3 linked regions of the Danio rerio genome follow. The protein of the gene in region 1 purifies or fractionates together with the protein of each later gene. This does not show direct contact. Links are inferred from orthologs where the notes say so. Each region holds a gene or a part of one and is shown on either strand. Other genes may lie near its edges.

Region 1 (4,374 bases):
ATGTTGTTAAATTGAAGAAAAAAAAAAAAAAAAAACACTGGGTGTGTTTATATCACCCCAATATGACGGTGTATACACTTTACTTACACACGTCTTTCCAAACAGCTTGAAAAGTAGATTTGTTACCATAGGTGCCCTTTAAAACAACATTAGCACCATTTAACTGATCATGAACAATGTTGCATTTTGAAAGCCATTGGACGCTGATATGATTTCCCTATTTAGAATTTGCAAATAATACTTTTCTGAAATTATAATATTAAGTAGAACGTCTGAATGTGTGAATACAAAACCAACTTTACCTCAATTGTCTTTTGCAGTGCTGCTATAGAGTGCATTTTTTTCAGGAGCGCTTGTTCTGGAATCATTTTTTACTCAATGCAAACACATGAACATACCCTAAATCGCTCCTCCAGCAGGGACAGCTCACTGATCAGATCCGTGATGGCATTAGTGAAGGCTTCCTGAGGACTGTAGTCTGGTGTCGTCTGAACGCGGATCACAACCTTATGCTCCAGAGGATGAGGAACCTTATATCCAGCAAACAGCACCTGGGGGTCCTTCAGCAACTGCCTAATGAGCAATTCCAATGTTACAAATGTGACATTTGCAGTAAGATCTCAAAACACATTCACAGAGAAAGTATGTGTTAACATTATACTGAAACATCTGTTTATATTTTCCAAAACAACTAACCACAGAGTTAAAACCTAATCTTTTTCATGACAAGGTTGACATTTGCATGGAATTGCTCTAATGTAAATATAGGATGATTACAAAACCCACATAAATATCTGAAAATGTTTTAGTGTATCAAAAGTTTGGTCTCTTACGATCGGATGATGTTTCCCAGTGTGTGATCCTCTTTATTTAGAGTAAACAGACATGCATTCGGCACCTTGGTGTCTTTGGTTATTGTGATCCTGTAAAAAGAAGTTGAACAGAAATTTTAGGCAATCCCTTACTTTTAAAAATAGTAATGTTTTGGTACAGAGTATATACAGGAACCAGAGAGTGAATTTCAATACCTTTAAGACTCTCTCCATACAAGACCTTAAGACCTTATTATCACTTAAGATTTCAATCGGAAACAATAAAGAGATTTTAACTTACAGTATATTTATTAAATATTAATGTAAAAAACTTACATATTGATATACATAATTATATTGAATTAAAATCTATTAAATATAGCTAATTCAGCAGGTTGGTGCCTATAGAACTGCAGAAATAATGGTTTTTCCTTGATAACTGCAGTAAACAAAACTGCATGATGTCAAATCTAGCAGGATTTCATTGATTTCATAAACTACACAGCATCCTGACATTTAGATTTAATTCAGGCAAACTTTAGCATACAACCATACCTACATTGCACAATCAAAATTATATAAAATTTAACACCTTGCAAAATAGCATTTAGGATTTTAAAATACTTTTTAAGGGCCTTACATTTCTCTACATTGATTAATCAACTTTTAATAGTTCTTAAGACCCCGCAGACCCTGTGGTATCATGGTACAATGTTGGCAGTAATATGTCACTTTGTTAAGTAGATCAGAGATGAAAAATGTTTTTCTAGGTAAATATACAAAATATAATAAGCTTTATCATCATATTTATCATCTTTTTATCCTACTATAATTTTAACCCTTATTAAGAGAAGATGCTCACTTAAATGTCATTCAGTGCAAAAATATTTTTTTATGCCAAAAAGTATTGTCAAGCATTGAGGTAAAGTTGGTTTTATATTCAGACATTTGGTAATTTTTGAACAGTGAAACCTTGTAACACTGTGCATATATTGTTTATCACACTGCTTTGAATATTCAGTCTAAAATAGCCTGCAAATATGACTTCTCAAAAACATAAGTACTATTTACCTGACTGAACAATGTTGTACTTTGATAGTCATTGGCTGCTAATGATTTCTCTATTCAGAATTTGCAAATAAAACTTTTCTGAAATTATATTAAGGAGAAAGTCCAAATGTGCGAATACAAAACCAATTTTACTTAAATTTGTCAAGCATATCTGTCAGAAAGAGGCATTTACAAGGCAAAACAATTTAGTTTAAGCACTTACTACTGCATATTTTAATCAATGTAGATTACAATAAAGGTTTACTTTTTAAAAAATATATTCATATTTATATGGAAGGTTATTTTACTAATATTTTTGACAATCTTATTTTTATAGTTAAAAGTTATTTAAAACATTAAAGCACACCTTATTTGCATAAATTTTATATGTTAACGTTACGTATTACCTCTGTTATTTAATTTGATGCTGAGACCAATTACTGTACATGTACTATGGTATTTACATGGTATTCAAAAAATGTCATGGTATCATGACCTAAAGTACGTCTAAAAACGAATACTTTTATTTAGATTCACAAGGTCACTTAACCAACTTAAACTTAATTGAGCTAAATGTTGGTATTACATGTCTTATTCAAACAGCTTAGCATCTGAAATTGTATTCGTTTATACAAAAATAATGAACAATAAACTTAAATAGTGAATGAATCAATCGTCGATATGATTTAAGCTGTATTGTATAAAGCACTCTGTAAACAGAAGTAGGTTGTATTTTGTTTTCAGATGGACTGACTAACGTAACCTGTCGTTAGCCAACAAGCTAAAGCCTTTTGAATCTCCCTCCTGTCTTCCAACTGAATATTTACTCTTATTATAGGCTAGTATAATATGTTAGTATAATTGAATAGCAAAGACAGCTTTATAGTGCACTTACTTCTTTTCTCCCTCAAACAGCAAAAAAGACTCGAATGCTGGTGGCGCGTTCATCCTGCTTCAAAACCAGCAGCGAACGATGCTACTAATGGACGCACGTTGTACTGCGCATGCGCATGACATGGGAAGACATGGGAAAAAGGGTAATATTGAGTGAATAACGACCGGGGGCAGTATTGTGTCGTAGTCTGGTCGTAGTATTTTCAACACAACGACAGAGTTAAGAGGTACCTTTATTATGAGTCTTTTAATACACTTTGGGTCAAAATGGTTGGATTATATATCTAATTTTGACCATCGCTTGTAAAAGTTGAGTATGGTGATTAGCATGGGAGTAATTATTGACCATTCCACCGAATGGATGCATTTTGCTTATTGTAACTCTTTACAATTAAACTTCTTTTAATTACTTTTCAAGGCGGAATCTAATAACACACATACTTAACTTTTCAAAATATGTATTGGTCCACATAAAATGACTTAATTTGAGTTTTTACAAGGTATTATGTGGCAGATGAATGCATTTTTCAGTCATATTACCCAAACTAACGAGTCTTTTAAAAAGCATGAATAAAAGTCTATCAGGTAATTACTTTGTTTTCCTCTTAAGAAAGTGATTTTCTTTTTAAAATATGGTTTGTTACACTTTCAAACATTTGATTTTTGTATTTAAAAAATCACGATTTACATAAAAAAATGTATTTTTATAGGAATGCAAAGGCACTTTCCCTTTTTTCAAGAAAACTGTGGCCTGAAATTCATGTTTTTTATAACATAATTTACTTAACATTTAAGTATATGATGTACAGAACTTAACTGAGTAAATTGTAGGGAAAAAAAGTTTTCACAAGAAAACCAAATCAGTAAGTGAAAAGAGAGAGAGAGAGTGTGTGTGTGTGTGTGTGTGTGTGTGTGTGTGTCATGTAGTGGAACTGTCATTTCTGAGAAAACTATTCCTTTAAATATCTTACAACTTCAACATTTCCATCCATAACGTGTGGAAATCAGATGAATAATATAATAAAAACTGTTCATTCTATTAAGTATCAGAAGATGCTTTTCATTATTGTTACTCATTCCTGTAACTCTTATAAGTAACAGGACTGAAAGTAACAGGACTGAATTTCTAGCATAATATTTGCATGTAAATGAAATTGAGCCACACGCTGTACATGCTAATAGCTCAAAGAAACTTATCAAACTCCCTCAACTTAACAAATATCAGAAATTTTGCACTGAACAAATTACCTCTATGAAGTAATTTAGGTAACAAGATAGTATTTTTAAAATGACATTTCCAGTTTTCATTGCAATATCCGCAAATATGTAAAAAAATAAATAAAAATAAAACAAGATATATTATCTTTGCTCTTTCAATGGCCTTTCAAAGATCCAAATGATGCAACTTACTGTTTAACAACTATTTAATGGATATTATTTAATGGATATATAATTTCCTTTTATCTAAGTATAGAATTTTTTAAATAAATGTATTTGAAGCAAATATTCTAATTATTATATTTTACAGTGAAGACGATGCTGTGGCGCAGTAGGCAGTGCTATCGCCTCACAGCAAGAAAGTAGCTGGTTCGAGCCTCAGGTGGGTCAGTTGGCGTTT
Region 2 (3,503 bases), on another chromosome or scaffold:
GTTTGTTCATGTTGATGTCTTTTCTGTCGAATTCAACAGAGCACACCTGGAAAAGACAACAATAATAATTCATTCATTTTCTTTTCAGCTTAGTCCCTTTATTAATCAGGGGTCGCCACAGTGGAATGAACCGCCAACTTATCCAGCATATCTTTTACACAGAGGATGCCCTTCCAGCCTTTTCCCATCTCTGGGAAATAATAATAATAATAATAATATATTTTCATAATTCTGTTTAAATGCATCCACTGTTGTTGGGAGGCCTTTAAAAATGTGCACTGAATATTATAAACACTCACCCCATTTCTGATGTTCTTCTCCCATCGTAAAGACATGTTTCTAAGATCGAACAGCTTGATGTCGCCGTTATCATATCCAGCGCACACACAGCGGTCTTGATCATTGAAAGCATGACCTAGAGGAAAAAAAGCAAGGCAAAGTGTGAGATTTACTCTGTGTTTTTTAGTCAGAACACATACAAAACATTTAGTAAATCTCTGTTTATAACTAATATTATAACAGTCTGTTGTGCATGCCTTTAGTTTCCTAAGATTTAAAGAGTTTTTGTTGAAAAAACAGTATGTATAGAACTAGAGGCACATTATATGAAATATGCGGCTAAGAAATAATTAATTAAACAATAGTAATTACAGTTTTTAAATGTTTTTAAACATCAGTAGTGTTTACCCCTATACAAGTCTGAAATTTCATTATTGATGCTCTTGAAAAGGCTTAAATTTGACTTGGTGAAACTTGCAGAAACCCTGAAAATACACATAAAAAGAAAGAAAACCCAATGCTGATCTTCAGTCAATATTGGAGGGACCGGTGACTTTTAAGCGTGAGAAATAAAAGCTGTGGTGTGTGAGCGTGTGAACTGGCTCAAATGCGTGTCCAGACTTGAGATTGTGATTAAATTAATTAAACTGAATCTTAATAAGTGTAAATAAATAAGGTGTAAAGGAGGCCAGGGTTATCAAATCCTGAATTCTTTCCTCTTCTCCATGATGACAGCACATAATATTAGACTAGATATTCTTCAAGACAGTAGTATTCAGCTTAAAGTGCATGTAAAGGCTTCACTAGGGTAATTAGGGTAAAGTTAGAGTAATTAGGCAAGTCATTGTATAACAGTGGTTTGTTCTTAAACAGTAAAAACTGAACCACCCTGATCCAGTTACTATGACCATTTATGTGAAGCTGCTTTGACACGATCTACATTGTAAAAGCGCTGTACAAATAAAGCTGAATTGAATTGATTTCTGCACACAATCCAAAACTAATATTGCTGAAGGGGCGAATAATATTGACCTTAAAATGACTTTAAAACTATTAAAAACTGCTTTTATTCTAGCTGAAATAAAACAAATCAGACTTTCTTTAGAAGACCAAATATTAGAGGAAACACTGAATCTGTTCAACATCATTTGGGGAAAATTGGAAAAAGAAAACCGGGAAAATATGAGTCCTGTCGATAACAAAACCAGTTGATGACCACTTAAACAGACGAGCTTTAAAAGATTTGTATGACCATTTCTAATTTGTTGGTAAAAAAAGAAAAGAAAGAAGGGCAAACAAACGTAAAACTCTGAAAAAGAATAAAACATTAACTCATGAACTAACTCTTGTGTGTGTGTGTAACGCAAGATTAACAATCACAGACCGAAAGCGACCGTCCAGCAGTCCCTCTTGGTTTCTCCCTCTGTGGGCTCCATGTTGACCACCGGCGTGTCTTTCTGCCGGGAGTCCCACACCTTCACTGTGCCTATTAATAAAACCACACGCAATCAAAATCCGAAGCGCAAACATTTCTAAGCGCAGTCAGTTTTCTATAAATATGTGTATCAGAGCAATTCCAGCGTTATGGTTGTGACATTTGCAGTAAAAACTCGAAATATAAATTCACAGAGTAAGTATATGTGAACATTATATCGAAACATCTGTTTATGTGTACCAAAACAACTCACTAAAGAGTTATGAGATCAGACAAATAGCAATCTGTAAACATATTTTATATTTTTAATGAGGGAAATAATCATGCATTATGGATGTGACCAAAAAAAGTCTGCGAGTTTACAGAATACAACATGCTTTGTAGACATTCAGTGAATTAAACTGCACAACCCAAAAGAAAGAATGCTAATCAAAAGGAGAAGAGTTGTCTCAATATACGGTAGAACAAACATGATTGATTTTATTTTACATGACATTTTTGCATGTATGAGGAAAAAGCTTGGTTATGGATGTGACGTCTCTCTGTTATGCATGAGACAGATGTGAAATTGGCTTTGGTAAATCAAAAATAATAGTTTGAAAACACCGACAGAGACATTTTTGAGTAGTTTACACAATTGCAAAACACTTAGAAAGGGTGAAAGCTTTGTTGACATTTGCATGCGATTTCTCGTCTGCAGAAATCCGCCTATTTACCGTCTCTACTTCCAGTGACGATCTCTGGAGCCCCGTCCCCGATGCCCAGTCCTCCCACTCCGTCAATGGCGTTTATGATCTCCTTGTGTGCTTTAACTGAGTACACCGGGCTGTCGGGCACTTCCAGATTCCTGAAGAGCAAAGATTACGCAATACTGCACTTTAAATAACAACATAATAGATAACCACAAACATAACCACATCCAGCGGGCTCCTACCAAACGTTAAGATTTCCGTCAAAGTCTCCGGTGGCCAGATGCCTCTGCTGGAGAGACGTGGCTCCAAACGTCCCACACTTGATTGGCTTGGATTTTTCTATCTAGAATATTGAAAAGTATGTTTATTAAACATCAATAATGCACAATACATCATATCAATATGTATATTGTTTTTGTCACAGGAGCAATAGTGAGGATGACTGGAGAAGGACAGGCTTGATCTGGCCAATGGCAGCAGTATTACAGATTCTGAGGTGCTGTACGGGTCAAACACCTGCAGCGCGAAGTAAATATTCACTTCTAAAAGGCTTACAGTAGGCTTATGTATTAAATACATTCACAAAGACGAAAACGAATGGTTAGTTTCAGTCAGTTTAATGTGTTCACATTACAGTTTCAGTCCGTTTTTGTTTTTTATAAACGTTTGTTTTTTATTTTTATTTCAAGTAAACGTAAATGATTGTTTTGTTTTTCATTAACTATAATAACTCTATTGGTTAATGGACAGACGGCTGCTTCTCACTCAGGGCTGCTGTTTACGTTAATGAAGGAGAGATGGGCACTAGTGGGCGGGGCTTCCCCCCTTTGATGACACGTACAAAGGGAGAATGTCAATCAAAGTGTTTCTGCAATCTACTACAATGGTAGGAAAATTTTGTTTCTCTGCAGCTTCTTCAAACAAATCAATACGATCTTTATTTCTTCATGGAATTGTGTCAGTTTCAAATGTGACTTTTTATTGGAATTCTTTCGTTTCTGATGTTGATTGCTGAAAAATATGGCTCATCCCAAATAGCTACTTAATTACATGTTAGATAAGTTTCATTTTGAATTATACATCGTACATACCCAGTA
Region 3 (3,579 bases), on another chromosome or scaffold:
TCCAAGACACTAGTATTCAGTTGAGTGGCATTTAAAGGCTTAACAAGGTTAATTAGGGTAAAGTTAGGGTAATCAGGCAAGTCATTGTATAACAGTGATTTGTTCTAGAGACAAGCCAAAATAAATATTGTTTAAAGGGGTTAATCAGTTTGACCTTAAAATGGCGTTAAATCAATTAAAAACTGCTTTTTTTCAAGCTGAAATAAAACAAACAAGACTTTCTCTAGAGGATAAATATTATCTGACATACTGTGAAAAACTCCTGAATTTGTTAAACATCATTTGGGAAATACTTGAGAAAAATGCACAGGAGGGCGAATAACTTCAACTATATCTATGCTTTTGAAAACGAACAACAAAAAGCATTAATGAGGGTTTGTTTACCTGGCCACGTGTGAACAGGCATCAATCAGGACGCCTTCGAAGTCTTTTGCGAACTCTGGACCCTTTTTCTTACTGTTCTGAATCACATCATTGGCCAGATACAAGAACGTCAACTTCCTGCTGCTTTTAGCTGAAAAACAAACACATCATCACTATTACCTTTATTTATTAGTGTTTTAATGCCATATAAGCAGCATTAGCTAAACCCACACTAAATATACAATATATAACATGCAATCATATCGGTTTCTTCTTAATAAACGTTCATTGTACAAAAAAACACCAACACTGACTGAACAGAGTCAAACACAATCTTTTAGCTTGATTGATGATAATTATGGCGGCATAGTGGTTAGCACTGTCTCCTCACAGCAAAAAGGTCGCTGATTCGAGTCCCGGCTGGGTCAGTTGGCGTTTCTGTGTGGAGTTTGCATGTTCTCCCCGTGTTGGCATGGGTTTCCCCGGGGTACTCCGGTTTCCCCCACAAGTCCAAGCACATGTGGTATAAGGGAATTGAACAAGCTCAATTGGCTGTAGTATACGAGTATATGAATGTGAGAGAGTATGGGTGTATCTGAACCATGCCAGGCCCGTTTCCCGGATCGTTTGAAAAGTGTGAGTGTTCTGAATCGGCCTTAGGCATGATTCAGTTGGCCAGCCCTGGCCCGGATGGAAGAGGTGTGCTAGAGCGCAGTTCATTTGGGCTTACAGTGCGAGTGCAAAGTGCGCCTGAGCTCCAAACTGAAGACGAGACATGACTTTTACGGGACTGTTTCATATGGATTTATCAATCATTCTTACTGTTTAATGAACACAAACTATTGTAGATTATTAAACCCCTCACTGCACGACAGTTGCACCTCCAGCAAACCTTTTAATACGTGACGCACGAAGACTTTTAAGTCGAAATAAGGCGAAATATTTGACTGTGTGTCACTGCATATCGAACCATTTAATGCAATAACTAAAGCAACCACCACTGAGCTCCCCAGAGTGCTTCTCTTCTGTTAAACTAAAGAGCGCATCATCGATGACGTAAGCGTGCTCAGGCGTGAATGCTATATGAGTGCGGGCCGTCGGAGGAGACGTTAAACTACTCAACAAATGCTTACTTAATCCCAATTACAAGCCATATGCACAGCAAACATGGTTAATTTTTGCCATTTACCTTTGTTAGATCATACTGATGAATTAATGTGCTTCTCGTTTTTTTTTTTTTTTTAAAACCAACAGATTTTTTTTTGTATTGTTCCCACAATGGTCATGGACATCATCATCCGAAGCTCCTCTCTCTCTTCCACAATCAATTGCAAGGCCTTCGCAGCAGATAATCTTTTGGCCATCTTGATCAGTTTTGATAAGGAACCACACTGGCAAAGTCTTATTTATAGTACTATGCCCCTAATTCGCAGATGGGACAGGATATGAGTGCTTTCACACCTGTGAATCGATTCAGTTGTTCTAAACAAGGATTACAATTGTTACATTGTTGCTCTTTGCTCTTGGAGCGGTTCACTTTCACACTGCAAAGTTACTAATCGGACCAAAAGAGCTAAAACAAGTCACGTGCGAGTAAACTCTCCTCACATTGGTCAGAGTGTCAGGGTTTATTTTGCAGCGTCCCGCTCAGCTGTCAGGAGAGGTGGTGGTTTGGTGGTGTTTGACAGGGTGCGCGCGACGTGTCTGAAGAGTAAGGAGAGATGAGGTGGGGAGGGGTGAGAAGGGTGCGCGACGTAGCCTATTTGAGGACCGGGAGGGAGATGCGAGATTGCCAGGAGATCATCACTCGTTTGCGGGCATCCGGAGACTCGCAAAAGTTCCCGCCATACTCATAATTCTCTCTTCATATAGCCGTAAGCCTATTACATATCCATAAAACACTGTGATATAACCGCGCTCGGATCGGATCGCTTTCTCACTGCAATCGAACCGCTCCAGAGTTCGTTTCAATCGAGCCGAGACCACCTCACTTAAGCGATCTCGGAGCGATTGATTTGGCGCGGACTCGAGAGCGATTGGTGGATTCACATATGCTAAACGAACCGCACTAACTGGGCAAACAAGACAGGTTCCGAAACAAAAGTGTAGGTGTGAAAGCACCCTTATTATACCTGGGTCTAGTGAACCCGAACACCTTGTATGTAATGTAAATGTCTGGGTGGAGGTACATTATGCGGTCATTGAAAATTTGTTCGGAATTATGATCTTCACAGAAAATAGGCCAAAGCCAAAGAACTTCAGGTTGAAAAAATAATTCATTGTTTAATAAAAAAAAAAAAATAAAAAAAAAAACGAAAAGGGTCTCACAGACCCGAACACCATACAAGGGTTAATAATATAATAACGCTAATACTGAGATGGTTAGGGCATTTTAGAATGACCAAAACAACATTTCAGATGTTTTACAATGTGCTCCGCCTGATGGTTTGTCCATTCACACACGTTTTTATCATCACATGATCTCATATATCAAAATCACATGACTTTTTTATGCACATAAAATCGTTTCCATCTTAGTTTATTGCGCATCTTTTCGTATCAAATAAAAGTTAATTCGACTTAGTTATGCGCAAAGGTTTTTTATTCGCATTTTCAAAATGTATGTGCCTCTTGGTGTTTGCATTAACCAGTGTTTTTATGCACATATCCAAACTTTGCATAGAAATATGTGGATGGAAACATAGCTACTCTGTGTGTGTGTGTTGTAGTGTGTGCTAGTAGTTTCTGTGGAGTAAAAGTTTTTTTATAGCTGGCGGGTCAAAATAGACCCAAAGGACAACTGTTGTACTCTAAATGTGCACAGCCTTCATGAAAAAAGACAATGTACAATAAATGTTTAAGGTCATTTTAGAAAAGTAAGTATATGGGCCATTTTTGACCCGGGTTAAGCTTCAGTGAATGAGTGTCTCTCTCACCCTTCTTCAGCTCTCTGTGCCAGACGCGCACGATGAGCGCTGCATGTTTGCGATGGTGAATGATCCACAGAGACAGAGTCTGGACGCTCTGCTGGGAGTTACTCAGTTCAGACAGTTTCTTCTCCAGCGCAGACTCGGAGAAAGACGACATGCTGACCGCTCGCGCTCACCAAACAACCCTGAAAACAGCACAACAGACCTGATCATTAACATAAGATGCATTTAACATAAGGGGAAACACAAGGTCAAAAGTTGATATCAAACTATGGAAAAGAAAGTG

The links. Proteins that work in one complex are often made in the same cells at the same time.
Region 2: the proteins of polr2j (region 1) and dnaaf10 purify together in Homo sapiens (affinity purification with mass spectrometry; 3 studies listed by BioGRID and IntAct, with this or other methods). This does not show direct contact. The link is inferred for Danio rerio from reciprocal best matches to the Homo sapiens genes POLR2J and DNAAF10.
Region 3: the proteins of polr2j (region 1) and rprd1b purify together in Homo sapiens (affinity purification with mass spectrometry; 3 studies listed by BioGRID and IntAct, counting the BioPlex papers as one, with this or other methods). This does not show direct contact. The link is inferred for Danio rerio from reciprocal best matches to the Homo sapiens genes POLR2J and RPRD1B.

The regions. Positions count from the first base shown.
Region 1 is NC_133180.1:67,353,688-67,358,061, reverse strand, and holds the start of polr2j (DNA-directed RNA polymerase II subunit RPB11-a), read right to left. Parts: upstream 2,847-4,374; 5' UTR 2,811-2,846; coding exon 2,758-2,810; intron 924-2,757; coding exon 834-923; intron 574-833; coding exon 399-573; exon of another isoform or gene 1-398. UniProt on the Homo sapiens protein: Core component of RNA polymerase II (Pol II), a DNA-dependent RNA polymerase which synthesizes mRNA precursors and many functional non-coding RNAs using the four ribonucleoside triphosphates as substrates.
Region 2 is NC_133188.1:1,040,942-1,044,444, reverse strand, and holds part of dnaaf10 (dynein axonemal assembly factor 10), read right to left. Parts: intron 2,750-3,503; coding exon 2,649-2,749; intron 2,562-2,648; coding exon 2,431-2,561; intron 1,766-2,430; coding exon 1,664-1,765; intron 416-1,663; coding exon 300-415; intron 47-299; coding exon 1-46. UniProt on the Homo sapiens protein: Key assembly factor specifically required for the stability of axonemal dynein heavy chains in cytoplasm.
Region 3 is NC_133198.1:46,861,797-46,865,375, forward strand, and holds part of rprd1b (regulation of nuclear pre-mRNA domain-containing protein 1B), read right to left. Parts: intron 3,479-3,579; 5' UTR 3,451-3,478; coding exon 3,300-3,450; intron 515-3,299; coding exon 385-514; intron 1-384. UniProt on the Homo sapiens protein: Interacts with phosphorylated C-terminal heptapeptide repeat domain (CTD) of the largest RNA polymerase II subunit POLR2A, and participates in dephosphorylation of the CTD by RPAP2. Transcriptional regulator which enhances expression of CCND1.